Lepisosteus oculatus: one gene and its partner. The protein of the gene in region 1 interacts with the protein of each later gene in a biochemical or structural test. Links are inferred from orthologs where the notes say so. Each region holds a gene or a part of one and is shown on either strand. Other genes may lie near its edges.

Region 1 (15,916 bases):
CCCAGGGATTGCAGACCCAAATGCCTGCATCCAGGATTGTGATCCCCTTGGCACCTAAACCATTAATAATCACAGAGGGCCCAGATTTAAACTAAACATCTAGATGGCTGCAAGAGGAAAAAAAAACAGTCTTATATTTTGCCCGAGTCTCCTTGTTTCTTGTACAAGCTCTTGCCTTTACCAATCACGGTCTCCTCATAACCCCCTCTCTGAACTGGCTTCATCACTCTGCTCTCCTCCCCACTGAGAGCTGGTGTGTGGTGAGAGTACTGGAGCATCATCCAGGTGGGGCTGCACACTGGTGGTGGTGGAGGGGATCCCCATTACCTGTAAAGCTCTTTGGGTGGAGTGTCCAGAAAAGCGCTATATAAGTGTAAGGAATTATTAATATTTTATTAATATGATCACCCAATGGTTCAAATCTCTGTTGCTATGCATTTTTTGCGATTACTAGCCATGCCCAAGCCTGGATCAGAACAAACTGATCGGTGGGACCAGATCTAGGAAGGGACTGACCCGTTCAACCTGATGAAATAATAAACTGGATGCATTTCAGTTAAGTAGTTATAAATTTCAGAAAAAAAAACACAAGAGGCCTGAAGCAGGAGAGGAGCATCACTGGGAAAGAAGGAAGAGACGGAGCCGGAGTGTGGGGAGGGTGGACTCGTACCTGGTGAACAGGTGCGCCTCCAGCAGGACCATGTAAGGCGGGTTGGGCCCACTGGCCAGGACCCAGTTCAGATCCGATTCAGCCTCCACCACATGGATCACACCGGTGTCGCCCGAGATGGAGGCTGACGGACAGGGAAGGAGAGAAGTCTCAGAACTAGTCTTATCCACCCTTGTCATCGGCATCGAACGCAAGGCGAACTATATAGGCAGCCGCCAGCACCAGCCACCTGACGAACAACTGGGCGACTTGTGTTCAAGGGGGGCTGCCACCCCAGTTTCTCGAACTGGTTATTAAATCTTGGTAAGGAAATAAATTCCTTGACCATACAGAAACAGATGTACAGATTCCAAATGAAAAATAAAATCGTGAAAGTAGTGCAAGTCGCCGGGCGAGAGCGACAATTCACTAGAATTGTGACGTGAAGCGGCCCTTCCTGCTCACTAGTCACTGTAATAATTATTGTAATGTGATGTACGAGTGAATAAGTCCAGGTTGTGCAGCAGACATTTCACAGCAGAAATGTTCCAATGTGACCTGCAGGCAGAGTTGACTAGGAAGTAGTATTTGTTGGCAAAACCGTCTCAAAGTCGAGAGCAATGTTTCTGCTGGCTTAAAAGAGATGGATTCACAAGCCTGCTTGTTTACAGTGCAAGAGGGCTGCTTCACCTCACCAGACGTTTCGGTGCCTTGTTCTGAATCGCAGAACATGACGCTGCTCACACGTGGAAATGCTGTCTATTTTGCGATGTGAATTGGAGGTTTTACAAGTTACCGTGTACCGTTTACTCTTACGGTGGTTTGAAAGGCACCCATTGGATTCTTTCCAACCCCGAAACAGGAAAGCGGCGTTGCAGCTCCCCTTGAAACCCACGCCGTGTAGACTGACCCACCTCAAGCCCGAACCTGCCCAGAGTCAGATCACTCCACTCCGCTTGACAGACTCCTACCGGCAGATCGGCTCGGCTGACTTGCACGAAATTTGACTTGCGCAACGGTTTCCCGGATGAACCTCTTGCGATTCCCCCCCCCCCCCCCGAGAGCCATGCACGTTCACGGTTTCGCTCACTTTTACTCAGTTTTACGGTAGCAGGTTCCTACCCTGACCTATTCTCTACACTCCTAGGAGCGCATCGAGCAATATATTGAACGCACTTGCATCCAGCAAGCAAATGAGAAGACAGACGTCAGTCATGGATTAAACAGACTCTGCAGCAATAAAAAGAAAAACCCCAGGATTTAGGTAGTGGACGTTATTTAGTTTAAATACATCAGTTCCAACATCCATATCCATAAAGATGTCCACAAGCTGGAATTAGCTTGGATTGAATTCCAGGCCATTTTAAGTCAAGTGGAAGGGCCAGAGACCGAATTTTATACAGCGACCTGGAGTTTATACAGCGCAAACCGTGGCATACCCTGACCCCCCCCCCCACCTACTACCGGAGGTGCCAGCCCCCGCCATCTTCCTCCCACCACCCTCGCCCACCCGCCAGCCCCCGCCAACCGCTACTCACACTGGCAGCCGATCTGGTGGGTGGAGTTGAGCAGGCGCACGCAGGGGGCCGTGTTGTTCAGGAGCACGTAGATCTTCTGCTCCACCGAGTTGGCCAGGGTCCCCGCTGGGGAAGAGAAAGAGAGAGCCGCCGTTATCATCATCATCATCATCAGCAGCAGCAGCAGCGCCACCACTAGGGGCCCAAGCGGCTTTGCTAGTGGAACCAATACAGATCCCAACGCCGCCGAGCTCCGCGTCCTGGCTGGAGGAGGGGTTGGGGGGGCGAAACAGGTCGCAGACTTCGAGCGCTTGCTGCACATAAGAGGGACACGACCAAATACCAACGTTCCATCATCAGACTACCTTCTGCAACAGTTGTGGGAAAGCTAGTTAATGGTTTCTTCTTCTCCCGAACCCGAACTGATTACTCTAACACCCTGCTTGCTGGGGTACCTAAATCCACACTGAATCAACTTCAGTATGTATTGAATTGGGCAGCCGGAATCCTGACCAGGTCCTGTGCAAGTGATCACATCACTCCTGTCCTGGAGTCCATGCACTGGCTCCCTGTCAGTTTTCGTGTGGACTTCAAAATCCTCATGCTCACCTATAAGGCTCTGCGTGGCTTGGCACCTCAGTACCTGTCTGAGCTGCTATCGTCCTACTCCGCACCTCGCAACCTTCACTCTTCTAATTCTGGTCTCCTGTCTGTACACCAAGCCAGTCTACATTGTATGGGCAACAGGGCCTTCTCCTGTTATGCCTCAAAGCTCTGGAACTCTATTCCTAAGGATATCAGAGAGCCACCTTGTCTAAACTCCTCAAATCTAGACTCAAAACCTTCTTTCTTGAGAAGGACTTTTATTGAACTGGTTCTATGTCTGCCCCTTTACGTTCCCACTGTATTCCAAACCCTTATTGTAATTGTTAAAATCCTGCTGTATCCTCTCATTGTGTGCTTTTTTCATAGCGTGATGCGCTTTGAGAAATCACTTCTAATAGCGCTATATAACAAAGTTTATTGTTATTATTCATCCATCTATTTTCTAACATCTTCATCCAATACAGGACGCCAGTCCATCACAGGGTACACACAAATACACACACACACACACTCACACCTGGGCCAGTCTTCCAACTAACCTACCAGCATGTGTTTGGACAGTGGGAGGAAATGTGAACAGACAGCACCCCAGGTCTTGAATTGTACTGGTTGTTGACTATTTATTCCCAACACAACCCATCTTCCCAGTCTCATACTGAAACCATAGGACCATTCTCGTGTACTGATTTACAAGAGGGACGGTGAGCTCTTTATAAATAAAAGATGAACGTAACGAGAGAGATTCTCGCCATCGCTCCAACTACGGTGCTTGCTATGTAATGACAGCCAGAATCACCCTACATTTGCTTAACGCTTTTAAAACAAAGCATTTCACATAGATTGAAGCAAGGTACATAAATTAAACTCGCCGCTGAAAAAGAGGACACTGAGAGCGCCTTATTTCAATGCGACATCTTTTATTTAAGTATACAACCACCTCGGAAATAATGATTGGTTTGTTTGTTTGTTTGTTTTTGTAATGTTTGGATGAGCAGAACACTGCGAGAATTCGCCCGGTACTGCTACAATACTGCTACTGAAATTCGGGAACAGGTTCTCATGAGGCTCCGAGTTCGGGTTTGACACACAAACCCCGAGGTTTGCGTATGACTAAATCATATGACCACCAGCAGCAAGTGAGCCGGAGACATCGCCTCTGCTAAGACACAAAAAAACGCGTTTAATTGAAATAAACGACCACATAAAATAAACGCGGATACGACCAGGCATCTGTCCGAACTGAAGTACCGGGTGACCGAGAAACCAACACTGACCGCCCTGCCTATGTGAAGTCTCTCCGGGTTAACACGGGCATGCAGCACGGATTTTAAACAAGTCTGATTTCCTGGTGTCTGGGGGAATGGACTCTAGGGATACACTCAGGGGTTATTAGTAGCAAGTAACTTTATTTCTGTAACAACAGTTGCTCAGCTTCGCACTAAACCTCGGTTGCGATAAATTCGGTATCGCTTATTTGTCGATGTATTAAAGTATACTTTTGTTTAAACTGTCTTGATTCACCTGTACAGAGACAAATGCACAATTTCTTTGGGAAAAACAAAATCTGACCCAAAGCTTCCTACTTCATTTCGCTTTCCAGTCTTTGGTCGACACTGCAGACCGCAGTTGATGCAGCTTACCTGAATTTAAAACGCAGACTACGATCAGAAATAAAATCCACTGTCGTAAGGAAGAAGCCATCTTCCTGATTTTTCGGACCATCAAACAATACACTCACAGGAAACACCAAACCTCCGACAGAGAAGGATGGGCGATCGCCTTTCCTTGTCATAGAAACGCGACGGAGGTGCTTTCCAGACCTCAGTAAAATGGCGGCACTCGCGAGACATCTGTACCCGCAGAACTTGACCTTACCAATATGTCAACTGGCTGGCACTATGTGTCCGGAACACTGAATGTATTTGGTATTTGGAGGTATTTAGGTAGGTCTTACAATAGTGGAATTTAATATATAAACATGATTTTCACTACATAAATATTATATTCTTGCAAACATGGTATAATAATAAGATTTGGTTAGATTAGTCAGATTATAGTTAAATAATTAGTATTGATGAGATGATTATATGTATTATTATTAGTTTATTATCAATTGTTAATTGTTAAGTAATTAACTGTTAATTAATTGATTGATAAACAAAGAGAGTATTCCTTTTTGACTTATGCTTCTTTTTTGGATAGATTCCAGTTACACCCAGGAATATTGTAACGCTTACGGCCGACAAGCACTGTGTGTAAGAGCCGGCGTACCAGAGCGGGTGACGTCACCGCCCTTCCCTGTGATAGCAGGACCACAGCTTCTGGGCTGTGGAGAGATCTCTCTTTAGCTCACGGGGCTAGGTCGCTGCAGAGAGACGCGGAAGTCCCGGGTTCGAGCCACCTATACTTTGGGCCGACCAGATGCGGCAAGGGCGCCCGCCTGAGCCCCCGTTGCGTTACAATATGTTATTCCTGAGAAAGTGGTGAGTTTGTTCAAAGGTAATCGTAACTGTCATTATTGACCTTCCGGCTTTTACAGTGAATCTGTTCTTCAATGGTGTGGAGATAAAAGATAAAAAAAATGCAATAATAACTCCTTAAGGAATCCATTTAAACCCTGCTTCACTCCTCTCTGCATATCCGTCTGGAATTCAAGTAGGGAGCTGTGTCAGCTGGAGAAGAATATGTGAAGGTTTTATTCCATGCTGAAAAAGAAGAGATACATGTGTTCAGCATGGAATAAACCTTTACCCATCCTTCTGTTTGAAAATATGACCTAGAAAATTAGTTTGGACAACCGCTGACAGATACTTCCTTCCTAACAAGATTAAAGAAATACAATTTGACACTTTTTCTGAGGTTGAACTAACACTTAAATAGATTCAGAAAAGAAACTGAAGCATTTATTTGTCAAATTAATATATATATATAAACAACTTTGTTTTGGATAGACTTGTGAAACATTATATGTAAGCTTTTAGATATGAATCTTAGAATTAAGGAGTTTGATATTAGGTTATACTTTGCAAGATGCAATATGGAAAATTAACCTTTTATTTAGAAGTAATATGTTAGTGCTGCTGGGTAAATCTCACATTTACAAGACAAAATGGTCTAAAGTAATTTCCTCTATAATGCTTATATGGAAGAAATTCAGTATTACTTCAATACCATTCAAAATTGAAAAACAACAAGGCAAAAAATACAGGTGATGTAAGTAAATATATAACATGGTGTTCAGATTTGTAATTACCTCTGGCAGCATATTGTTCTGTGGTTTTATTGATCAGTTGTCTTTTGCACACACCTTTTCACTTTTGTTTGTATTATTTGATGTTCAATAAAATGTTGACAAAACACAAAGATTCTCCCTACAGTGTTCATAATGAATAAATAATGGGTCATTTATAATTATTGATAGTGGGTTGCAATTACCTCCACAAAACACAATGCTCACACCCAAAGAAGGCTCCACAGCCGAAACTTTGTGTTTCCTTTCTTCTCTTTTCAGCAGAAATAAACTTTTTACTTGTTCCTTTATGGTCCCGTACTACTCCTTCTTTAAATGTTTATTCGATGGAAATGCGATATTACTTACTGTACACTCCATGAAAAACATGAACAATAAAAAGCCATCTTATCTTGTTCAGAGTTTTAAATATCTCAGGAAACACAGTTTAAGAGTCTCTTTTGTTGATTTTTCTTGTTTAAGATACGTTTTCTCCTTTAACTCATATTATCTAATGTTCAATAAAACTCAAGAAAAAAAGAAATAAATTAAATGAATGCCATGGAAGAATTCGTGTAAGATTTTCATGGTGTGCAAAATATGAACTAATCCTTACACTTATATAGCACTTTCCTGGACACTCCACTCAAAGCGCTTTACAGGTAATGGGGATCCCCTCCACCACCACCAGTGTGCAGCCCCACCTGGATGATGCTCCAGTACTCTCCCCACACACCAGCTCTCAGTGGGGAGGAGAGCAGAGTGATGAAGCCAGTTCAGAGATGGGGATTATTAGGAGGCCATGATTGGTAAAGACCAGGGGGAAATTTGGTCAGGGTAACACCCCTACTCTTTTCAAGCAGTGCCCTGGGATTTGTAATGACCACAGAGAGTCAGGACCTCGGTTTTACATCTCATCCGAAGGATGGGGCCTTTTTACAGTATAGTGTCCCCGTCACTGGGGCATTGGGACCCACACAGACCACAGGGTGAGCGCCCCCTGCTGACCCCACTAACACTTCTTCGAGCAGCAACCTAAGCTTTCCCAGGAGTCTCCCATCAGGGTAGTGGCCAGACTCACACCTGCTGAGCTTTAGTGGGTTGCCAGTTGTACAATGCAGGAGGATTTAGCTGCTGGCCATAAATGTAAGAAGATTCTTCCGCTTAACTATGTGTTAACGTGACTAAATAATACCCACAACAACTATAAGCACATTCAATAGGTTAAAAAAAAGCAAAACAGGTATTCTTTATGTGATAATATACTGCACGGCAAATAACTTCGACCTTCTCAAGATGGCCGACAGCGGAGGTCGTTGAACGCCGAGAGCCAACGTGGAGCGTTTTCCGTGTTGTTTGAATCAGCTTTATTGTTCACAGGAAAGAGGAAGTGGGTGGCGAGGTGACGTGTCAAGGAGTCCGAATCCACTGATGCGGCCCTAGGTGGGTGTCAGGGGAACAGGAGAGGAGATTGAAGTAAAAATATATATATATAACACAATAGTAGTAGTGTTCTAGTCTTCTTTTTTTGCAATAGGATAGACCTTTGTTGGGCTTGAAGACGAGAGATCCGCGGCAGGTGCGAAGATGCTGACCAAATTTGAGACGAAATCGGCCCGAGTCAAAGGTACGGCGGCGCTTATTTTTTTATTTTTGCGACGTCGCGTTTGTCCTTCTTGTCCGCGCACATTTTGAAGACCTCCGAAAATAATCTAAATAAAAGAAAACACAAAAAGAGCAGCGTTTTTCGTGGCGTGATGACGTGCTGCTGCTGCTGTCGTCTGCAACCCAGCAGCCGGACTGGGTGTGTGACGACTGATTCAGCTGCAAACATGGTATAATAATAAGATTTGGATAGATTAGTCAGATTATAGTTAAATAATTCTTATTAATGAGATTATTATATGAATTATGAGTTTAGTTTTTTATCAGTTGTTGATTGTTACATAATTAACTGTTAATTGATTGATGAACAAAGAGAGTATTCCTTTTTGACTTATGCTTTTTAGTTATTTGACTTTGAATTATGCTTAGTTTGTTCAAAGGTAACCGTAACTGTCAGTATTGACCTTCCGGCTTTTACACTGAATCTGTTCTGTACAGCTTGACCGCAGTGTAAAAGATTCAGCATTTATAATGTAATCTTTCAATCACTGATGCTTTTACGGGGGTCAGCCGAGTGAAAACCACAGAAAACCCACATAGCCATCCTGTTTAGAGAAAACAAATCATTAATCATGTTTTTGATTGACCCGATTTGATGTTGGTGTTTTTATAGTTACCGATCCTTCCTGCAATCTTTCCTAGAACGCAACAGGTAGTTTTCGGCGGACTTCTTTTTTTTTCTCTCGCAATCTCACATGTATTTCTTTAAATAAAAACGAACTCGGCTTTTTTTTCTGCATTCGGGTTTAGTTGTAGCGTCAGAAAAGGAAACATTGACGATTAATAAAAAAAAAAACAAAGCAAAGCCGGAGACGTCGTGTTCTGGATCTTGTTTCCCTGTTGACTGAGCCAGTGTGTGCTCTGTCCGCTCCTCTTCCCCCACAGGGCTGAGTTTCCACCCGAAGCGCCCGTGGATCCTGGCCAGCCTCCACAACGGCGTGATCCAGCTGTGGGACTATCGCATGTGCACCCTCATCGACAAGTTCGACGAGCACGACGGTGAGGAAGGCGCTCCCTCGTAAAGGAGCAGCCCCATCTTTGAATAGTTCCCCGGTGATACTGCAGTAAAGAAGAAGCAAGTGCATGAAACAGATGAGGGACCTTAACAACCGTCACTCTAAGAAAATATTTCACACGTCTGATAAGATTCTATCAAAAAGCCCAAGTCTCTGTTGCACAATGTACAGTGTTTTGATCCCCATTTCTGCTGAAAAGAGAGAGGTCAAAGAAACACAAAACTGTGCAATAAAGGGTTCATTTATCATTATTATCCCCTGGGGGATATTTTAATGCAGAGTCCTACACTACAATACAAATAATACAGTAGAACGGTGTTTCAGGGGGCAGGAGAGTTATTTCACATGAACAAGTAATCGGTTTATTCCCTCCTAAAAAAGAGCAAAAAGAAAACAACGTTTTGGCTGTGGAGCCTTCTTCAGGTGTAAGCTTCTGTTTTTGTGCAGGCCCGGTCCGAGGGATTGATTTCCACAAACAGCAGCCTCTCTTCGTGTCTGGGGGCGATGACTACAAGATCAAGGTAATCGTGTTGCTGCCACACTGCTATATATGCACCACGCGCGGTGCACGTGCAGACAGCACTCTATGTGCGGACACGCCGTGTGCGTGCAATCGCAAACCTTTATCAACAGTCACACCATCTCCCCACAGTGTAGACCCAAGTCCACATACTGTGTATGTGCTGGCATAGGTCATGTAGAGTCTACAGTTACATGTGTTGAAATTGTGTGCCAATAAACCAAGTGGAGTTGTTGGAATATTTCAACTTAAAAAGTTCTCAAAGATCTTTTTCTAATCAGCCTATATTAATGGGAGTGCCTTTCCAGGTTAAGGTGGGCTTGAAGAGCAGAAGGTACACAGAAATATATTGGATTTTAATTAGGCCTTTGTCCAATCGCAGTTCTGCCAGAAACACGATTGTCTTCAGTCTTCTTTCTCTGCCGTTTTGCTGCCTGCGTTGTCAGTTAGTTCAGTCTCCTGTAGTGCTGTGATTGGATGAAGACAGGCTGCACTCAAAGACACAGGAGTCATGTGGGCTGCGAGTGAAGTTCTTCAGGTTTGGTGGACGTGACGGAGAAGAACAGAGAATGTCTGAGAGCTCTGTTTCACCAACCCCCAATTCCTGCCAGGATGAGGCCACTGAGCGCTTTGAGGCAACTCAGATTAAATAAGTTGAAATAAGTTTTGATTATAGCTCCATCTATTTTCGAACCCCTTCATCTAATTCAGGGTTAGGGGTGGGGTGGGACTGGAGCCTATCCCAACAAGACATGCACACAGTCACACTAGGGAGTTTTCCCAGAAGCCAGTTCACCTACCAGCATGTCTTTGGACTGTGGGAGGAAACCAGTGCAAACCTTGGGAGAACATGCAGACTCCACACAGACAGCACCCCAGGTCCAGAATTGATCCCAGGGCCTCAGTGCAGCAAGGCAGCAGGGTCACCATTGCTGCCCCTTTTTTTTTGTGTGTGATCAGTCAAAAAATAATGTATTTGAGCAGGTGATGTGTTTATGTGGGGATGGGTGTGGTGGGTCCCAAGATTTTGTTTTTTTCAGGAGGAGTGCCATGGGATGGAAGAAGGTTGGAAAACCGTTGTCTCTGTCAGAGTGGTGTGACTGCTCATTGCGCACTCCAATGTCATTCGGTTTCCAATTTCTCTTCCCTCTCCGTAGGTTTGGAATTACAAACTGCGACGCTGCCTCTTCACTCTGTTGGGCCATCTGGATTACATCCGGACTACTTTCTTCCACCATGTGAGTGTCTCCCCTCCGCCCAGCCCTGACATTATTCCCTCTGCCTGTCTGTTCTGCTCATGACCTCATTGAAGTCTATTTAAAACTGAGAACAGGAGGCATGTATTTACACAAAGGGTGGTGGGAGTGTGGAACAGGCTGCCCAGCCACGCTGTCGAAGCCAGTACCCTGGCTTCTCTCAAGAAACATCTGGATGAGATCCTCAGATCGATAAACTGCTAACTATCAACGGGCGAACCTCTGTTAGGTTGTCTCGTTCCTCTGTTTTAGAAGAGCCTTAATCATCTGCACCCGATCTGTAATGTATATCTAACTGGAGCCGACCAGCACTTTTTCTGAAAGAAGGGTTTGCTTGAGTTTTGAACAGGCTGCGCACAGGGTGAGAGTTTCTCTGACAGATGCCTCTTTGCCTTGAAGGACTATCCCTGGATTCTGAGTGCCTCCGACGACCAGACCATTCGCATTTGGAACTGGCAGTCCAGGACCTGTGTTTGGTAAGTGCATTAAAGACCATGAGATCAGTAGTCTGTGCTCTTAAAGAATATCAGCACCATGTTGATACGGATCAGTGGTCTATGCAGTTCTCTTAAAGAATATACGCATCATGTTGGTGGAGATCTGTGCTCTGTACAGCTCATAAAGAATATAAGCATCGTGTTCAGGCACATCTGTGGTCTGTACAGCTTTCTTAAAAAATACACGCCCCATGTTAGTGTCGATCAGGAGTCTATACAGCTCTTTTATCTGTCCACAGGCTTTGGCTATTGAAGTGGGCTGTAAATCAGAGATTGAAAAGAGCAGAGGGCACTACAGAACTTGGTCATCTGTGTCCTTATATGCTACAGTCATTGTTCTATTTCATGTGTGTGTTACATAGTACTCTGTGCACAGCTGAGAGGGTGTTTTAGTGAGTAATGTGATTTTTATGTTTAAGGTCAGTGGGTTTTGCCTTGCTCTGCTTCCTGATGACATTTCCTTTGATACAGACAGGGGGCAGCGGTCAGAGAGTGCCCTTTCCTAACCCCTAACCCGCCTCTCTCTCTCCCTCCCTCCAGCGTGCTGACTGGGCACAACCACTATGTGATGTGCGCCCAGTTCCACCCTTCTGAAGACCTGGTGGTGTCGGCCAGTCTGGACCAGACCGTGCGAGTGTGGGATATTTCGGGTGAGCGTGTGGGTGGGGGAGAGAGGGCAGAAGGCCAAGGGGGAGGTAAAGGGGAGACCGGGCTGAGTTTGGGGTAATTTGGGGCTTGAGGGGGGGGGGGGATATTAGGGTTATGGACAAGAAGGTACGGACATCCCCCGTAACGCCTCCTCCGCGGGTGAGGTGATGGGCACCCCCCGAACCCCAGTCTTCCAGACTTTTGTCGCCTGAAAGAGACACTGCTGAGGTAGCCTGCTCTGACACCCCTGTGGGTAACAGGACAAGGCAGTCTTCTAAAGGAATTGAGCCATTCAGAGAGATTTCAGCACAAGGTAGTTGTGGCTTGCTCCATCTCATTTTGCTGTGGAGTCTTTCCACACAGCCCCTGATGGCACGCTGTAATTGGCTAACGATGGCTTCTGTAAAATGGAGCCTAACGCAATGCTTCTGAACATGCTTAATTATATACTAATGCTAATGTGAGACAGATTTAAAGAATCAAGTAATAGGTTTATTCCATGCTGAAAAGAGAAGAAAGAAAACGCAACGTTTCGACCAGACCTGAAGAAGACTCCACGGCCGAAACGTTGTTTTCTTTCTTCTCTTTTCAGCATGGAATTGTGGACTTTCCATCAGTGGCTGCCATGCACAACTGCCTTAAACTGAATGGAAAAATTGATAAAACACTGTAAAGTGGCAGTTTCCTTTTTCTGTCACCCCTTTCAAAAAGATCTACTATATGATTCCTCCTTTAATAAGGGAGATATGTTGGTTTAACAAGTGGTTGGATTTACGTGGGCAGAATCAAGTCTGTTCCAGATACTATACGTCGTGTCTCTGGTGATCCAGTGAAGTACTCGCTCTCCGAGTGTGTATTGGAGCTACTGCCCCGTGCGCAGGCAGTGTCAGTCTGTTGTGACTGAAGACTGGGGCAAAGGGTCCACTCTCACAGTCCCGCGGGAAAGGGGGGCGGAGTCGGGGGGTGAGGTTTTGTGTCGCTGCATGCGTTGTGATGTAACCTTCTCCCCTGCTTGCTGTGTGGAGGATGCTGGGAAGTGACTGTGTGATGTCATCGTAGCTCGCGCCTTCTTTATTTGCCTGCCTGCTTAACTGCTCTTAACACCCAGTGGAAATGGCATTCGGCTGCCTTCACACAGAGCAATGCTTTGTACCAGTTTTTCTGGAAATGACCAGCAAGGGCTACCACAAGCCTCTTCAGAAGCCCTAGTGACTACAGGAGAGGGCTTATCCTGGTTTGCTATGCACACTACCAGTACATTTGCACCCCTTGGTTGGGACACTGCAGTACTTTGCAGGTCGTCTCCTTCCCCCAGCAAAATTCTGATACTCATTCATACAGTAGCAATGGCGATCAGGGCAAAGTATATCACTTTAATCAAGGAAACTGCAGGATCCAAACTGACCCTCTGGGAACAGGTCTAGATCCCCAAACGCTGTTCCGTGTTACTGCCATCCCTTGCGGTCATGAGATTCTTCCCCCCGATTGTCTTAATGACAAAATTGGTTTCTCAGATTTTCCTTCAAAGGATTGACAAGTAAGAAAATATACTTCAGTGAGCTGGATTCGCAAAGAGCACTGGAGAAAAAGGATTACTTCGGAGAGTGCTCGCTAATGCGTTTCAGCAGGGCCAATAACCAAAGTTAAAATGTTCCTTTAACCAGAATCCTAACGCATGGCCTGCACTGTGCTTTAGAAACTTTGTGATTGGAGGCATGACTGATCACATGACCTTTTCTCTTCTAACATTTCCCCCGGTTATAATAAATTAGTTGGCATGCAGAAAAAGAGGGAATTCTTTCCCCCAGTTTTAGTTGCTGCGTGTCTACTACAGTGTCTTGAGTTTGGATTTGTCTTAACCAGCAAAAAGCCTCGATAGCAATATGTGAACATTGCAGGTACCCCACAAGTGCTCTGAAGGCTGACCTCGTTCTTTTCTTGTTTTGTTTTTGCGAGAGTTAAACAGTTTCAGCCTGTGCCTGATCGCTAACTGCATGAAATCCAAAACCTATAACTCCTGTACTGACAAGGCCGTCACACAAACCGAAGTCTGTCCTGATCTTAGCCCTATTCCCTCCCCCCCACTATCCACATCCCCACCAGCCGACGGTCCGGCATTGAAACTCTTCCCCCTTGCCCTTCTTCCTTCCTTTTACACCCACACACCACCGGAAACATCTACAGTTGCGCTTTTGGTTCCTGTTCTACCTTTTTTTTTTTTGCTCCTGTTGGAATTCTGTTTATAAATCCCTTTGGATGAACTATAGGCCTGGTGCTCTTCCTTTCCTTTTTGGGCTAGAAGGTACTTGCGTTAAAAGGAGTCAGGTCCAGTAATCTATTGTGTACAGTGGTAAGTAATACATCCTTAAAGCAGTGTTTCCCAGCTTTTTATTCATTTAAATATCAATCCCTTTCATAAGGACCCTGTAAGTGTAGCTCATAGGTGTTTAGGATTAACTTTCCCCAGTACAGTTTTTTGTTTTGTAAAAGGAAGAATATCAAGGTTCCTACAGCTTATCTGTATAAACAGGTTCCCAACAGGAGTAAAGCTGAGCACTTGATGTCCTGAATTTTTTTTGTTATATGCATTTGGAATGTGTTTTTTTTTCCCCCCCATCATCCAGAGTTTTTTTTTTAAAAGCTCTGCGTGTGCAGAAGGTATGGTGGGCTTGTTTGAGAGATCTCCACTGAGTTCTCATCAAAGCTCACTTGATTTTCTTCGCACGTGCTGGGCGTATTCCGAAGTGTCGTTTACCCGATTCGGCGATTGCGTGGCGCCAGACGTCTCGAAAGCCGGGGGGGGGGGGGGAGATCTGTGTGCGTCCTCGCTCGCCTTGCGCTTGGCTCTGTGTCACGGTTTGTCTTCGGTCCCCTTCCCCGCGTGTGGTTGCCTGCGTGTGTAACGTGTATTTTGGTACCCTTCCCGCCTGCCGTGGATCTTGGTTCCAGGCCTCCGTAAGAAGAATCTGTCCCCCGGCGCCGTGGAGACGGAGGTCCGCGGGATTTCCGGGGTCGACCTCTTCGGAGCGTCCGATGCCGTTGTCAAACACGTGCTGGAGGTAAGCTTGGGTTGTTTCCACGTCTTTAGAAATACAGCAGAAATAATGCTGCAGCTTTGTCCCTCCTCTTCCTTGTTCCGCGGGGACTTGGCAGGAGATGGACGGTTGTGCCCTCTGACCTTTACCCTCCGTGCGTCTAGGGCCATGACCGTGGGGTCAACTGGGCCGCTTTCCACCCCACAATGCCTCTGATCGTGTCGGGAGCAGACGATCGTCAGGTGAAGATCTGGAGGATGAACGGTGAGCGGGCTGGGCAGCCTCTATAGCCATGCGTTTCAGCCGAGGGTGTGGGGAAAGGTAGAATTGTCATTTGGTCAAAAGCTCTGTGTGCAGCATGTCATTAACACGTCGAGTAGAAATCTATAGCAAGGCCTCATTTAGAATGTGGTGTATTGGATTATAGCATAGATGTTACCAGTCTGGGATCAGTTCAGAAATGTGTAACCAGATACATCCTAGGCCTCCAAGGGGATACAAGTATTCAGAATCCCCAAAGGTACTGATAAAGTCAACCCAGCAGACATCTTCAGAATAAAAGAATAGAAGAAGAGGAAACTGTTAAAGAGCATTTAAAACTGAGAATGCGGAACACAGCTTGTCTTTACACAAAGGGTGGTGGGAATGTGGAACAAGCTGCCCAGCCATGTTCTTGCAGCCGATTCCCCTGGCTTTCTTCACGAAACTGCTGGTTGTGGTCCTCCAGTCGGGACAGGAGGCATTTCTCTACATACAGGGCCTGGTTTCTTCCAGGGAGCGGCTGGATGAGAGGCATCATGGGATCGGTTAGCTGCTGACTAGCAGGCGGGCTGTGATGGGTGGTGTCCCATCTGTAACCATTCTTCTCTCCCGGCCGCCGCAGAGTCCAAGGCCTGGGAGCTGGACACGTGCCGCGGGCACTACAACAACGTCTCCTGCGCCGTCTTCCACCCCCGGCAGGAGCTCATCCTCTCCAACTCCGAGGACAAGAGCATCCGCGTGTGGGACATGTCCAAGAGGACCGGGGTGCAGACCTTCCGCCGGGACCACGACCGCTTCTGGGTTCTGGGGGCTCACCCCAACCTCAACCTCTTTGCCGCAGGTGAGAGTGCCCCCTTTGCCCTCGGCAGTGCACGCTGTTCCCGTTCACTGCCCGCCCTGTTCTTGGGGTGGACATCTGTTGAGCTCACATGGGTATTGGCATTTCTAACCGTATAAATCAATTGTAAATATTACATGTACCCGTGGGGGCGGCACCGTTAAACAGTGGGTTCAGTT
Region 2 (16,053 bases), on another chromosome or scaffold:
CCTGTAACTCGGTCTCCTCTAAAGCCAGCGGAGCACTCCGTCTGCTTTCCACGACAGGTGAGCTCGCGAATTCACTATTCTCGCCAGCTGAGGGAGGAAGACCTCCCTCCCTCCCTCCTCTCCGCCCGCCCTCACTCTCATCCGCCCGGGAACAACTCCCTTCTTTTTTATTATTTAAGTCTTTTAACTTAAGTGTGCACGTACAGCCTGCGTGTGACCACAACACATTGTTGCAGACACAAAGAGCTCGTACATTCTATGCCAGCAGCTAAATCACCCTGCAAATTACAGCTGGCGGCCCCACTGAAGCCCAGCAGGTGTGAGCCTGGCCAGTACCTGGATGGGAGACCTCCTGGGAAAGCTAAGGCTGCTGCTGGTAGAGGTGTGAGTGAGACCAGTAGGGGGCGCTCTCCCTGCAGTGTGTGGATCCTAATGCCTCAGTATAGTGACGGGGACACTATACTGTAAAAAAGACACCATCCTTCAGATGAGATGTTACACCCAGGTCCAGACTCTCCATGGTCACTAAAAATCCCAGGGTGTTTCTTGAAAAGAGTATATGTGTTACTCTGGTGTTATGGCCAAATTTTCCACTGGTCTTTACCGGTCATTGCCTCCTATTAATCCCCGTCTCTGAACTGGCTTCATCACTCTACTCTCCTCCCCACTGAGAGCTGGTGTTTGGGGAGTGTACTGGCGCACTCTGGCTGCCATCGCATCATCCAGGTGGGGGCTACACACTGGAAGAGGGGATCCCCATTAACTGTGAGGTGCTTTGAGTGGAGTGTCCAGAAAAGTGGTGTAGAAGTGTAAGGAATTCTCCTTCTTCTCTATATCATTGGAATCTGATGATCTCAGGCAGGAGTTTCTAACACAAGACCTCAGGATCCAACGGGTTTCTTATCTCTTTAAAAACAGTCGCAGCTTGAGGCTGTGCAATCCCAGTCAAACCTTAAATTAATCAATTTACTAAAATGTTTAATTTATATAGCGCCTTTGCCACATAAATATATATATATAGTTATTACTGTATAAACAACTATAGAGACGACAGAAGAAGCATGTTTATATCAAAATATATTATTACAATTGTGACTTAAGGAGACCTAGAGAAGACCTATTGGATTCTCAGGACTGGAGTTAGGAATTTCTGATCTAGTGCCTTAAGAAAACCCAATCCTCAAAGGCTTCCAGAGGACTGGGTTTCCACTGTACTTCTTTGATCTTAATGATTGTATGGAACAGAATTGTCAGACCCTTAATCAGCTGCTAATTGAAAAATATCTGCAGTTCCTGCAGGACTGCAATTGCCCATTGTGGGTTTGTGTGCACAGAGATACAATCAAGCTGCTGTCAGAATCTCATTTCTTCTCCTTCCTTGAGCGGAAGGCAAGTGTTAACTACTGCGCATATATATGATTAAATATCTAACTTATTAAAGATAGTGAGGGCACGGTGGCACAGGGGCTAACATTGCTGCCTCACAGAGCTGAGGCCTTGCGTTCAATCCTGGACTTCGGGCTCTCGATTCCATGACCCTGATCCAGATGTTTAGAAAATGTTTGACTTTCTTCTCCCCCCGGAAAGGGAGCAATGTGGCCTTGAGGGTGAGTCTCTGGACATCTTGCAGGTGATCTCAGTCAAGGTCGACGGAGAACTTTCTTTTAGGAACTTTTGATTTGAGGATATTTGATTATTTTGACTTGACTCTGAATTTCTGAATGTTATTTTTGACCCAATTACCTCCAAGTCTAGCGGGCAGTGTAGAGTTGCACGTCAGTCCCTGCATTCATTACAGGTGGGCAGTGGGTTCGGGTCCCCACTACAGACGCTGATGTTGTAGCCAGTGGCTCCTGTCCACCCAGCTGTAGGAATGGGGACCAGTGTTTGCTGGGAGAGGGGTCTGTGGTGGACTGGGCTCTTTGTTTGCGTATTGCCATGGAAACCAGGATGAGCTCTGGACCGACTGACTTGATGTGGCTCGAATCCAGAACTACCCACCTACCAGCCCCTCCGGACATGGGCCTGTGCAGCCAAGAGGAAAGAGGAAGAGCCGCCCGCAGTATTGTAATCGATCTCCACGTCACCCCTGCGTTCTGGCCATTGTGTCTGTCAGGGTTTCCACAGAATTCCAAGCAGGGAAAACACAGCTTAGCTGTCCAAAGGCGGATTTACTTGGATCTGCTCAGCCCATTGCATCATCAATTATTAAGGGCATCAAACAAACAAAAAAAACCTAATTAATAATGCATAACTTTTTTGTTAGACATAACGAGGCGGGAAAAAGGTCTTTGACAATAATGCAGCAGGTGTATTAAGCTGCTTTCAGGCAGAACCCTAATGATATCGTAGGCAAAAATAACTTCCACAAACCTTGAACAGAAAGCAGTACAAAGAAGGTGACATAAAGTCTAAAAGCAATTGAGTCAGGTGCAATAGGTGTGGTATGAATTCACTGCTCTTTTTTTGGGAGGATTTTTGGTTATGCAACTTTGGCGTGGAAAAAAATCAAATATACCTGTGCAGCCAGAATTACTGCAGTATATTCAAAGCTGTTACAGATCCCGAGATCAGTTCCCGACGGAAGCACTTTCTGTGTGGAGTGTGCATGTTCCCAGTGCCAGGTTTCGCCACATGCTCCTGTCCAAATGTAATGCTAACCGTTATAACTGCTGTTTCTGAGCTGGACGTGTGTGTGTGTGTGTGTGTGTTTGCCCTGTGATCTGTCCAGCGGTCAGGTCCGCCTTGCGCGCTGGTCTTCCGGGATGAGCTCTGGGTTGACTCAACGCTTTACTGGGAACCGGCGGCTTCCCGATAACGGATTCATACGAAGTTGTACGCTGGCTAACGCAGGCAAGGATGTTTTCCAGTAACTGCTTATTTTCTCAGGGCGTTTGTAATATTATATAATCTAGTTTTAATGACGTTTGCATTCTCGATAACCCAGCTGGGGCGACAGTCGCAGTACAATACAGTACAATGTCGGGTAACTACATAGCAATTTCTCCCCCTAGTGTACAGCCGCGGCGCAACAAATACAATTCATCTACATTGACAAGGAATACCAACACTTCTAAAGGTTTCACTTAATATAGTGTTATTGGGTTCCAAAGGAAAGACGTAATCTTTTGTGTAACAACATGCTTTAGCTGTTGTATTTAGGAAAGCATTTACTTCTGGGTTATATCCCTGTAATTAAGGTTTATTGACATACAGATCTAGCGTTTCTCTGTAAAACCTGGCAGGTGTGTTTGCTTTTTAGTCATCCTGTTCTGTTGAAGAACACATGGTCCTCGGTAGTCACACCTCTCCTAAATTTCACGTCCCCGCATAGCCGGGACCGGCGTTGCCAAGGCAGCGATGCATCTGCGGGTTACCTAGGCAACCGCGGAAGCTGCTCCGCCCGGATGAGCTTCCTCGCTGCCGCTCTCGGAATCTGAACGTTCACACACTTTATCACTAAGATGTTAGGCGCTGTGTTTTCTTGCATTCATCCCAGCAAAACACAATTAAGCGTCTGTGGATTATTTATTGTTTGACTGTCATTATCTAACAAGGGATTATACTATTATGAATTGATCCACAAAGTCCCACTAAAGAACTAAAGGAATGTAGCGTATTTATGCAAACAGATTTAGAACTGTAAGCTTCCAATAAATGTTCTTTAGTGTATAGTATTGTTTTGATTAAATGCACTGCAGGCGAGAGAGAAAAATCTAATGAAAGACGCATTCATTTAGAAAACGCAGTCCTAACATCGACATCCGGTGGGGTTAACTTGAAGCCCACAGCAAAGAGCTGATAACGAAGTGACGTATTCATCGTTTCTTGGTGCCTTTTTGCAACTGACCAGGCAATAAGTGAGCTGTTTCTCAAAGCGTTTACGGAACCACGAAGCGCAGAGGCGACGATGTACCCCAAACCAAAACCAAATGGTACATTAACATTTCAAAGTCTTGGAAAAAAAACAACAACAATGTCCCTTCCTTTGACCTATTTTACCAACATACCGTAAGAAGATACAGCTTTAGGTATCTGTCTTCAAGTGCAGTTCGGAAGGGCAAGCAGATCCAGACATTGCACGGCGAAGATTTATCGTGCTTCCTTAAGGATGTTTTTATGACTCAACAAATCAAACAGGATATATTTCACGCGCGCCAGTGCCGCTAAAACTATACAGCTTGTTTCCCCTCCAAACAAGCTGCGTTTCGTCATACGCACAAATTAAATACTGATAATCGATCTCCGTTCACACTAATGCAACTGTGCAGAGTTCCTCTTCAGGCTTTCTCATGCAAACCCATGTATGTGGAAACACACACACACAGCTGAGGACGGCCATCCCTGCCGCCGAGTCAATGCGAGGCCAAAGTTCATCTCCGTTTTTTAACCGATCTGCTGGGTGGGGAGACAGGAGAGCGCTCGCTCGTTTTTAAATTCATTTGACCCCCCCAAACAAAGGCAGCGCATGTGAGAGAAAGCAGACATGCTACTTCTGTTTATCTCGACTAGCAAGCCGACACTGACAGCTGTCAAGCTCTCGGGGAACATCGCACACACGACCACCACCAAGTTCGGTGAAGAAGTTCAAACGTTTATAGACCTGGCAAAGAAACGGCACCTCGTGCGGAGCCAGGAGGGGAAGTCAACTCTGATTAAACGTTTTAATTCTACCGTTACTACACTTTTTTTTATTTAAAATGCTCTCTCCTAATGGCAACGCCCCCCATAATTAATAAAACCGTGCTCTGCGCGCAAGAAATAAATGTAGAACTTACCTATAAGCGTTCTTTGGCATGTTTTCAATGCGATCTATCACGAATATAGGTTAAGATTTGAAATTAACAACGTCTTACCTTCCTTTCTTCAATGCACACCGGATACAGCGCGTAAACGCACAAGAAGCGCCTCTCCGTCCGTTTTGTAAACTTTACTCAAGAGTTGCTTTTTCAAATCTTCATCGCAGCAAAATCCCGGACCTTCATTATGGCCAAATCAGACAATGGTCTTTTTTCTCTCTCTCTTCGCCTCGCAATGTCGGAGTCTTAACTTGTCGAAATCGGGTAATTAATTCCCTGCTTATCCGCGTCTTGCGTTAGACGGTATGGTCTGTGTCAGTTAATAGCTTGTAAATAATTGAAGAAGTTTTTTTTCTCTCTGGGATCAGTTACAGATGGGGGGGTTGAAACTTGACTCCTTACAAAGTTTCAAACTTGGGAGACTTGGGAGGCTGGAGTTTCGGCCGCTTGATTGACAACGTGGATGACCAATGACAGCACAGGACCTGCTGTAATCTGCCCAATCGGATAAGGCACGGAACGTAATGTGCCCGCCCCATTCCTTCCCTGCCCCCAGCCCCGTTTCCAGTAATTATCCACAAATCGGGTCCCAGCTCCGTGGCTCAGTTTCCCAAAGGAAATGGCATTAGCAGAACAATGGGAGGGAACTGAGAGGGATTTATTTGTTATAATATAAACAAACAGAGCTGCAGCTGCACGCATTCACGTTTTTTAATTAAAAAAAGATAAAACTGAAATCCAAACTAATAACGTCCTTATTCGTCTTAAATAAAATGATGTCATTTCCTGACGGTGCAGAGATCGCAGTCCAGATGCTACTACTACTACTGACGATATCAAGATATCCACAAAACGTAACATCCATTTTCTAATACGCCTCTTTTAGATCAGGGTTGGTGGGAAACCGGAGATTATCCCGGCAAGCAACGGGCGCAAGGCGCACTCCAGGTCAGGAACTGACCCCAGGGCTGCAGAGCTGTGAGGCAGCAGTCCTAACCACTGTGCTTCAAAATGCAACATGAATATTATTATTACTATTAGCATATACATCAAGACTAAATTAAAAGCCAGTTTTCCGGCACAAAATGTGGGTACTAAATGCAAGCTCCTTTAAAACTGAGAACAGGAGGTATTTCTGTACACAAAGGGTTGTAGGAGTCTGGAACAAGATACACAGCCCTGCTGTCGAAGTCGGCCTCTGATTTGCTGTACACATTTTCTCATGACCTGAACCTTTAATTATCTCGGTTTGACCAAGTGGCAGAGATGAACTGTCATTTCTTCGGAAACACGTACAGCTATAGGTGCCCATTGTTTGTTGATATAGTGTGTTTCTATGAGCTCAGACGGAAAGCTTCACGGTGGGGTTTCCCAATCAGCCCCAGAGCGGACCAGACATGGTCCCTTATATTAACAGACGGATGCTATCTGGACAGTATTGTTACAGCTTTCCGTCGCATGAATGGAGGCCTGTTAGAGGAATTCCTGTATTTAAGACAATTTCCGAACTAGACACGCATTGTAAATAAATATATATTGTAATTAAATGCCGTGCCCCATTGTATCCAGACACACAGCACATTTGCTTTGTCATATTAACGCAGGGGGAAGGAAACGCTCGGCATTGTACGTTTTCCTGTGTTAAACATTAGCAAACAGTACATGATCGGGGATTTCTATTCTGATTAAAAAGAAATTACATTCTAACCTATATCGCGATTGATGTACTTTATATCCGTAGTGCTGGGTTTCCTTTCCTTGGCCTATAATTGCAAAAGACATGAGAAGATGTGAATGGGAAATAACGCGATATGTCAAGAGCGATTTTTTTTTCCCCGCACTATATCCAGTCTTTCATGTTCTTCCCAGTGTGCGCGTGGGTTTCCTCCCACAGTCCAAAAGCATGCTGGTACAGTGGGTTTACTGGCCCTGAGTGTGTGTGTGTGTGTTCGTGTCTGTTTGCCCTGGCGTCTCGTCCAGGGTGCATCTTGCCTGTTACTCGAAGGGGTCGTATCCAAGTCACTTTCCCCCTGGAAATCTGTACCGCACCGCTACCTCAAGAACACAGGTTTTTGTTTTTTGCTTCCTCCGCAGGTGAAATGATTTATATGGAACTCACAAGGGCAAAGGACGCATACCGTGTGTGTGTGTGTGTGCACTCTTTCGGGATAAATAGCGGATTTCAGCGCACACGAACAGAGAGGCTCCCTTTTTATTCCCGATTTTGAAATCGCAAAGACACAAACGCACGCGGGAGCCGCTTATTTTGCGGAGCGCATGCGCATGGCCGAGTGGGGAATACAGTTTTCCAGGGGAGACAGATTTGGATAAGCCACCTGGATATGCTCCCCGCGACGCTGGGTTGGAAGAAGAGTTTAGAAAATTGTTGTTTTTTGGATTATTTAAACGTACTGCTCGCATTGTCCGCAAATATAGAGATAGTTGTTTTGCTTTTTTTCGATTGCGACGTAAACTTTTAAGTTAAAGTGGCTTTCGAAAGCCAAGCAAGGTTGGGACGAGTTAGTACTGCGATGAGAGACTTTTGACCCCTCGTTGCTGAGAGTGCCGCACGAATCTTAGATTGTAGGTCACCCTAAAGCACATGGTGCTGAAAACGATGAAAAACTAGGAAGACGTTTTTAAGTAACAGAACAATTCAGCGAGTAATGTTTCGCTGGCCACTAGGGTTGAAGGCTGCTCTCATTTTAGTTCAACGTCATCGCTACATTACTCAGTCGAACACACCCCTTGATTAACTGACCACAGGTAAATGGATCCACGACTTTAGAAACGAATGATTAAAGACTACCTGTAAAACTGGACGGACTCCCCTGCTCTAAGGAAAATGAGGCAACTGCTGTTAGCTTTGTTGATCGGCCAGTAGGTGGCGCTCTGATCCCTGGTTCACAATTTCCAGGCCATTGTCTGCCCAGGCATGGCGGCCGTGGACACTGTGCTGTAGGAGACGCCGTCCTTCGGCTGGGGCAATAATCCGAGGGCTCTGGGCTTGTAAAACGTGGCCTCCCTAGAGTTCCCCCTTTGCTTCCTTGGTTAAGGTCCTGTGCATGGAGGCTGCAGAATGGATGCCCCTAGTCACCAGGAGGGGGCAGCACCTCAGCAGTGGATGCTGTCAATCCTCCTCCTATATGTAAAGTGTTAGAGATAATGAGACAAGTGACAGGTGCTATATTAATACAGTTTCTTATTCTTATTTCAAACGGCGAATACAGTATAAGGAAGGTCTTTGCTGTAAGGCAAATATCGCTACGCGGTACAGTCCTTTAGCAATAAAAATATGAAACTATTTAAGTAGCTTTTATTATACAAGAAACAAGAATATATATAAGGCTTTACGTCATTGTTGATGAGGAGGCAGACAATTGCACCGCTCACAAAAAAATAGAAAAGGAGAAACACAACGTTTTGGTTGTTGAGCCAAATCTAAAGTAGCGGAACACCAGAAACGTTTTCTGTTTTTCAGCTTGGAAGCGTCCTCTGCATTGCTGCTTTTACAGCCATCGCACATTGACGCAGCTCACTACTCAAACATCTCTAATTGAAAAATTGCCACTTTCAAACTACATCTCCCATAACCCTCAGGGGGCGGGGAAACGCCAGCTCGGGAGATGACGTGGCTGGCCAACGTGTCCAGGAAGCTGCTCGGTTCGGTCAACATGGCGTCTCAACAGGGAGAAGTTGATGAGCTTTTTGATGTAAAAAATGCGTATTATATCGGTAGTTATCAGCAATGCATTAACGAGGCGCAAAAAGCGAAGGTAAGGAGTATCTGGAAACGTTATTGTGGACTGTTTTTTAAACATTGCACTGTTGATTCAGTAAGCTGTTATTATAGTGAAGAGAACGAACCGAGAGCACATAATATAAACACATCATACTTCGATGTTTTTACTACTTTGATACAGTTGTAAAAACAAAGATTATATTTGAGTACGAGTGAAACAGTCGTCAAGGAGAATCCAGATCCGTTTTTTTTTTGTGTGTGATCGTGATTTCTTACTGACAGTATTTATAGTGCATCTCTTGTATAATGTTGGACAAATCGAGCCGTTGTAATGAAATACAGAGGAGTTTGGGACACAACTGCGGATCTGTGTTTAAAGCTGTATCTGTTATGTAAACGTTTCACAGAAGTACATCAGAGGTTTAGTTTTTGAAGCGTTTCAGTACCTTTCCGGATTCACGGACGTGTCCTTCAAGTGGCTGACAGGGACTCGAGGTTAAATCTTTATAAAGGAATATCAAACAGTGACATTGAACCAATTCCCTGAATTTAACTCACATTTGTAAGTGAAATAAGTTGTTAAAAAGTGATTCTCCCCTCCCTTCCCTTTCAGCCGTCAAGTCCGGAGAAAGAGGTTGAGAGAGATGTGTTTTTGTACAGAGCGTACATAGCTCAGGTAGGTACTGCTCCTTCATTTCCATGCCTGTGCAGAGTCTCTCTCTGTTTTCACCTGCTCTGCTGTGACTTGTCCATTGTCTCTTGGCCAAAAAAAAGGGACTTTTTTGCCATATGTTTTTTTTACCATAGCAGAAACCAGGCTATAATATTCAAAGTCTGTTTGAACTTTACTAAATGTCTGATTAATTGATAATGATAAATCCTTTCATGAGGGTGGGAACAGAGAGTATATTCAGGGGAACAGTAATTAAGTTATTATTTTATGTATGGAAATTCTTGTACCTTAATAAAACCACAAATATTTAAAAGGTCTGTTTGCTCAACGTTCACACATCTCCAGGATTTGTATTGTATCAGTTTGTGTGCAGGTGTTGGCCTGGGTTGATTTACTGCTGGATCTGGAGCTTGAAGGGTTGATGCTCTTGCTTCGCTGGACTGGTCGTGATAATTCCTCGTGCTCTTTGATTTTCAGAGGAAGTATGGTGTGGTGTTGGATGATGTCAAACCCAGCTCTTCACCAGAGCTCCAGGCAGTCAGAATGTTTGCGGAATACCTCTCTAACGAGGCCAAAAGGTCAGGTTTGGGTCCGTAAAAGATAAACAATACCTAATCAAACTGAAAAACATCAAAATGAAGGGACAATGAATGGAAACCAGAGCTAACTGCATGTCTTGTAAATGAGATTGTCTGTCCTTGCTAGATGGAGGGAATGCATGTGAGTTCTGTGTTGCATAAGAGACATTTTGGAAGAAAAATCCAAGACAGAATCTTTTCTGCATATAAATGCCCTTAAATTCATTAATGATCAAGCTGTTATTGTGCTGCATGTTTTGCTCAGAGGTGTCATCCTCTGTTGCTATGTTTGTGGATTATTTCGAGTCTGTGCGTTTGACCATGCTAGATGTTTTTTCCATAAGAGAGAGAGAGAGTGTGAAAATGGTTATTTTAACTGCTTGAAGAATCTCTGCCTTCGGTTCAGGGATGCCATTGTGGCGGAGCTCGATAAGAAGATGGCGAAGAGTGTCGATGTAGCCAACACAACCTTCCTGCTCATGGCCGCCTCCCTTTACTTCCACGAGATAAACACGGACGCGGCCCTGCGCACCCTGCACCAGGGAGACAGCCTGGAGTGGTAAGACTCTCTGAGCCCGGCAGTGTCCGCCTCTGTCTCCCTTCTTCTTGAGGGAGGAGGACAGGGGGCTTAGAAATCAGCTCGGGGATGAAGCAGAGCAGCCTCTCGCCTCCATTGCCTGCAGGGTATTTGAAAATGTTTCTGATCGGCACCAAAGTGCAAAAGAATCCAAAATCTGCCGTCTGCGGCCACTTCAGAAGTCTGATTCTTCTTTAAATTGATTTGATTTCAAATGTGTCTGCCTTTAAAAGCATGTTCTGGAATATGCCCGTTGCCTTCCTTGCTTTTTGAAAACGTAGAATGTTTTTAAGAAGTTGCAGGGAAATCAGTTGTGAGATAATCCTAGAGTTTTTAACTGCTTTAGTTCCTGTCTCTTGGCTTTTCCACATATTCAGAAAGCCTGTACCCTCATGTCAGAGGCCGTGATTAAATGAACATAATGTTCAGACTTTAATGGGTGAATTTGCAGCAGTGATGTCTATATGCCCTGTACACTTATTACCTTTCACCTATCCCAGAATGTGCTAACATGGCTTTTTTTTTAAATATCTTGTTGTTGATTAATCTCGTTATAGCATGGCGATGACAATTCAGGTGCTGCTGAAGCTGGACAGGTTGGATTTAGCCAGGTAAGTGTGGTAGGGGGGAATGTTTTAATCTTTGGCCAAAACTGAAAGGCCAGAGAGTGAACATTACAGTGTAATTTCTGTGTGTAGTAGGATTTGCATGCCGTGAATTTCAAAAATAATTTATTTTGTAATCTATATTGGTTTAGAGTGCAGGTTTAGTCATCCTTCCAACCTTGAGAACATGTTTGTCAGTAGTTCTTTTGCAGGTGTTATGTGTGCAGTTTTTTAAATGTATTTTGTAAAGAAAACCTGCTGGTAAATTCTACAGTTTTAGGGAAATCAGATATGTTGGAAATGCTCCAGTTATTAATTCAGACGTTCTAGTCTATTTGGCACTGTGTTCGGTGCGTAGACTTGTTCATCGACTGCTGGGTGTCTCCACAGGAAGGAGCTGAAAAAGATGCAGGAGCAGGATGAAGACGCCACCCTGACTCAGCTGGCCACCGCCTGGGTCAATCTGGCCATCGTGAGTAGCTGCCTCCTCAGACCAGGGTTTGAGCACCTCAGACTTGTCTGGAGCACCATAGGATGGATTTTGCTTCAGATGCAGAAAGACCTCTCCTTCTGGGATATTCTCAAGGAATGACAAACGCCTACGAAGAAAACAGGTTTAGCAATATTTGAGGAGTCTAGCAAAAAGCTTTGGCTTTATCTGCCTAGCTGAGGGTCAGCAAGGAACAAGGAGGTCACGACCCCCAAACAGACAGGGGACAGGGACAGATGGAGAGGAGGGGTGTAGGATGACGCCGAAGGATAAATGCGAGCAAGAGAGAGGCTTGCTGGGATATTTATAGTTTTTTCAGGAAGTGATGTCATGGAGAGCGATGCGTTAGAGTAGTAGAGATGAGGGGGGACCCTCCCGAACTTCCTTTTCGAACCATATTTATCGTTCCGAAATAATAAAAGTCCTGTGAAAAACGTAGCCTATGAGTGAAGTGCCGCTGTCGAGACATTTTGGAGGAGTCCTCAAATTGCCGTTCCTCGTGAATGCCCATCCATGCATCCTCAGGAATACTGGTTGTACTGTTTAGCTGTGTGGGCTCAGAGGGAGGTCGGAGTTCTTTGAGGTCTCTTTGCCAACAGGGAGGAGAGAAGCTCCAGGATGCCTACTACATCTTCCAGGAGATGTCGGACAAGTACTCCGCCACTCTGCTGCTCCTGAATGGCCAGGCCGTCTGTCACATGGCACAGAACAAGTGGGATGAAGCCGAAGGCGTGTTGCAAGAGGCTCTTGATAAGGTACAGTAAGAATGCAGAGGAAGGAAGGGCCTAGTGATCCACATTCAGGTCTTGATAACCCAATGCCATTTTTTCTGACAGGGTTGAAGAGTGCTTTGCTACAGCATTTTGTTTTTTTTTCTTAGAAATCATTGATTTTTTTTTATGCACTTGCCAAGACCTGGCTTCCACTGCTGCCCCAGGTATACAAAGGCACACAAACGCACTCACCTGTCAAACCCTTGTGCCTTGAGGCACACTGCTGCTTCACAGTGTCTTACAGGAGAGTTAACTGTGAGTGAGGGAGTAGAGCATCCCCCCTGCCTTTGCTGCAGTCTTACAGGCGCCCAACAAGTCCTAGGAGTCACTGTTTGGACTGCAAGAGGGCCTTATCGGTCGGCTACGGTTGTGATCCAAGTTCGAACCATAGACCATAAGGATCAAGCGCCTCTGGGATTAGGCTGATTTTTCTCAAACCAATAACTCACAGCCGCGGGTCAAAGATCTGTTGGGGGCATTGCTGTTGTAGTTCACCTTATTGTACCATAGATGGCGCCATGCCCCTGTTACAAGAATGTTAAACAATAGCTTGGTTTCTAATGTTGTGTGCTTCTTGGGTACTGTTGAGATTTTGTGTGATACATTTTTGTGGTGTGTGTGTTAGTACTTTTTGATGCAAAATGAGTAACAGGAAGCCCATCTGTGCGCAGATAGTGTCGAAAACTGGAGAATCCTGTCCAGTCATGTTGTTGCAGCTGATAAACCTGACTTTTTACAAGAAATGTCCCGACAGAATTCTCCTAGTAGTTAGCTAACAAAAACTTAAGCAACCGGAATGGCCTGAATGTCTTTTAAATTCTTACGTTTCATAGGCACTGGTTTTTAAAAAGTTAATGGTTTATTTTGGCTTTGTCTTCTTAAAGGTGATTTTTTTTAACTTAGGCTAGAAGTAAATAGAGAGTGTCAAAGAGAAATCTTGTCATTTGAATTGTGTACATTCTGGTGTAGTAATAGGAATTGGTTGTTCTGCGCGCATTTCTGAAAACACGCCTTTGTCTCCACCTCTCACTCTGACTCTCTTACTTTCTGTCTGTCTTTCTCTAACAGGACAGCAGCCACCCTGAGACCCTCATCAACCTCATCGTGCTGACGCAGCACCTGGGGAAGCCTCCTGAGGTGAGCTACCCCCCGGGAATACTCTCTATCCCATTCATTTCCAAGATCAGTGTTTTAGTCCGACTCTTGGTTCCTGATGTAAAACAAACGAAGATGTTGCTGCATATAAAGACAGTTAAAAGTCTGGAAGTGGTAGGGTATAACCTTGAAATGAAAATGTACATTAAATAATTATTCAGTGATCTCTGGAAACTTTATTTTCATGGTGGAAGTAATCAGTGAGTTCCTGAAGTCCTTGAAAGATGGGTTGCTTACAGTTTTGAGAGATAAGAGGCAACAGATTGGTTTGTTTGACCTTTGGTGACCATCTCCAGACTGAATAGGGCTCACCATTCTGCATCATGTCTGTGGATGCAGCAGGTGTAAGTCTGCAAAATGCCTTACACGCTTGGGACACTTGAGATCGGCTTAGTTTGTAGATATATGGAAGAAACCTAAGATTCTCACTTGGATTTGCTGTGTTGTTAATTAGACATTGAAAGGAATTTGTTCTTTGTATTCCTGAACTATTGTTTTTTCTGTGCGTGTGTATTCCAAAATGAGCCTTCTTCCTAAAAGAGTATTTGTTTTGCTGGGCAGGTGACCAACCGCTATCTCTCCCAGCTGAAGGACTCGCACAAAGGACACCCCTTTCTCAAAGAGTATGTCGCAAAGGTAAGGAATGGGAAAACTGTGAAACCTCCACTCTGCATGACAGTCCACATAAGGGGGCACGTATTGTGAATACTGACACATGGTTATCACATGTGTCCAATAGGATACTACTTACACCTGTCTGTATGACACCTCTTGCCCTGAAGGCGACTCAGATAAATGACCCCTCCCACTCAGGTTACCAAATGTTTCATAAACTTACCTCAGGAAGACGCTACCAGTCTGTTAAAAACAGAACCACCCAGTATCCCAAGAGCTGTCTTTTTGCTCAACCAGAATTCCTAGTTATTTGTGTTGTCTTGATTATGTTTTATGTACGGTTTATGTAGAATTGTTTTTGTAACGCCAAAAACACCAGAGGTAATTCCTTGCACATGAAATGTACTTGGCCAATAAACGAGATCCTGACTGAGAATTGAAATGTCTTCTTCCTCCTGTTAATGCTGTTTCCTCCTTTTCCTCCCTCAAACAGGAGAACGAGTTCGATCGACTAGTGATGCAGTACGCTCCCAGCGCGTGAGTCTCAGCCCGGCCAGGACCGCTGTCCCCTGGGGATCGTTTTTCTGCTTTCTAAACGGCAGACATTACTCTCGCTTCCTGTATTTAACACATGGAGCTGGTCGCTCATTTTGCAGCTGGAGGTGGATAAGAAAGGAAGTGTCCTCTCTTGTTGTCCCTGAAGTGAATACGTTAATTGGCTGTAAATACATGCAAACGGGACCCCATTCCCTTATGTCTGTCTGCTGCAAAGCATCCTGGGAGCTGTGCGTGTTCCTTTTGTGTCAATTTATTTTGTCACCCTAAAAGACAATAAAGGTTTGTTTTTCAGGGGGGTCCTGTCAAGTTGAAGGAGGTGGTCATTTCGGTGCGTTTGTAGAAGCTAACATTCACTGAGCGATCTGCTGAGATGGGGTGTCTGTGAGACCCCAAAACCCATGTAAGGGGTGTCAACGGTTTGTTTGTTCTGGGAGGGAGGGAAGGCAGTAACAGATGGGAATATTCCCTCCGGTGATTAATATAACTTCTGCTTGGGGTTCTTGGAGCGAGTGAGGCAAGTCTGCAGCCTGGTTTGTTGATACTCGAGTTGGAAATGAGAGATGTATTGAGTCGGTGTCTCCCCTTGAAAGAACTGCATCTTGCGTGGGCTCGCGTTCACTCGTGTTCTTTCGTGAGCCTGTATGTGAAAGTCGCGACTAAGTCCATTTGCAACACGGGTGGCTACTGTTCTAAAGTCGAACAGGAGTAAGGATATAAAAATCTGTCATCAACAATGGACAGATGTTCACAGACTACGGCACTGAGAGCAAAAAATCACACTGCTCCCTTCTAAGCATTTTTGTATATTTTGTCCATTGTTAAAAAAAGAGGAAAACTGATAAATGCAGCGCAACGAGTTTTGATGGACTTTTTACTCTGCGTTTACACGTGTTTTAAAGGGAAAATAGTGAACACGGCACCTTATCGAGAGAAAACGGCAGTAACGCTTCATAGGCAGAATTATTTGGCAGTCTGTTTTAAAACAAAACAGCCCCCCAGGCATTCTGATAATCAAATATCCAAAATTAGGTTTCATCTGGCTCACTATTAGGGTTGGGCGCTATTTCATTCACGAAATGCGAGCTCCAAGCTGGTGGTGTGCCGTGACGGTTCAATGACGCCTACTGGCAGCAGTGCAAAGGAGGTTATTCACGCAATGTGCTGCGAGTTTTCCACCGGCGCCTTGCCTGGCTGGCAATAAAACAGACAGCGGGATAAATAAGAAAAACGAAACCCCAACAACTCCGAGATGACGGACATGATTGATATAAAGGCCCGGGTTACTCCTGCGGAGGCAGGTGCAAACGGAGGTGCACGGTTCCTTTAAACGAGCTGGAGGGGTAGCTGTCCTGGTGACGTCACGTCACCTCTAGTGTTTTTTGTTCTCCGTTATACCATGCTCGGGGTATAACTTCCCACCTTCACTGCGACGGTGACTGGACTGCAAACCTGGGCGATGGTGTGAGAGCATAAAGCAGACGACACATT

Evidence for each region.
Region 2: the proteins of copa (region 1) and cope form a complex in vitro, tested with the Homo sapiens proteins (3 studies listed by BioGRID, with this or other methods). The link is inferred for Lepisosteus oculatus from reciprocal best matches to the Homo sapiens genes COPA and COPE.

What each region holds. Positions count from the first base shown.
Region 1 is NC_090699.1:8,458,804-8,474,719, forward strand, and holds the start of copa (coatomer subunit alpha), read left to right. Parts: upstream 1-7,366; 5' UTR 7,367-7,444; intron 7,445-7,451; exon of another isoform or gene 7,452-7,538; 5' UTR 7,539-7,588; coding exon 7,589-7,628; intron 7,629-8,551; coding exon 8,552-8,665; intron 8,666-9,129; coding exon 9,130-9,203; intron 9,204-10,359; coding exon 10,360-10,440; intron 10,441-10,857; coding exon 10,858-10,934; intron 10,935-11,495; coding exon 11,496-11,605; intron 11,606-14,552; coding exon 14,553-14,662; intron 14,663-14,802; coding exon 14,803-14,902; intron 14,903-15,521; coding exon 15,522-15,740; intron 15,741-15,916. Other genes in the region: ncstn (nicastrin), read right to left, coding at 671-794, 2,188-2,292, 4,413-4,494. UniProt on the Homo sapiens protein: The coatomer is a cytosolic protein complex that binds to dilysine motifs and reversibly associates with Golgi non-clathrin-coated vesicles, which further mediate biosynthetic protein transport from the ER, via the Golgi up to the trans Golgi network.
Region 2 is NC_090724.1:5,801,947-5,817,999, forward strand, and holds cope (coatomer subunit epsilon), read left to right. Parts: upstream 1-8,410; 5' UTR 8,411-8,425; coding exon 8,426-8,575; intron 8,576-9,154; coding exon 9,155-9,217; intron 9,218-9,691; coding exon 9,692-9,792; intron 9,793-10,198; coding exon 10,199-10,351; intron 10,352-10,926; coding exon 10,927-10,980; intron 10,981-11,364; coding exon 11,365-11,446; intron 11,447-12,063; coding exon 12,064-12,219; intron 12,220-13,305; coding exon 13,306-13,374; intron 13,375-13,953; coding exon 13,954-14,028; intron 14,029-14,500; coding exon 14,501-14,548; 3' UTR 14,549-14,871; downstream 14,872-16,053. UniProt on the Homo sapiens protein: The coatomer is a cytosolic protein complex that binds to dilysine motifs and reversibly associates with Golgi non-clathrin-coated vesicles, which further mediate biosynthetic protein transport from the ER, via the Golgi up to the trans Golgi network.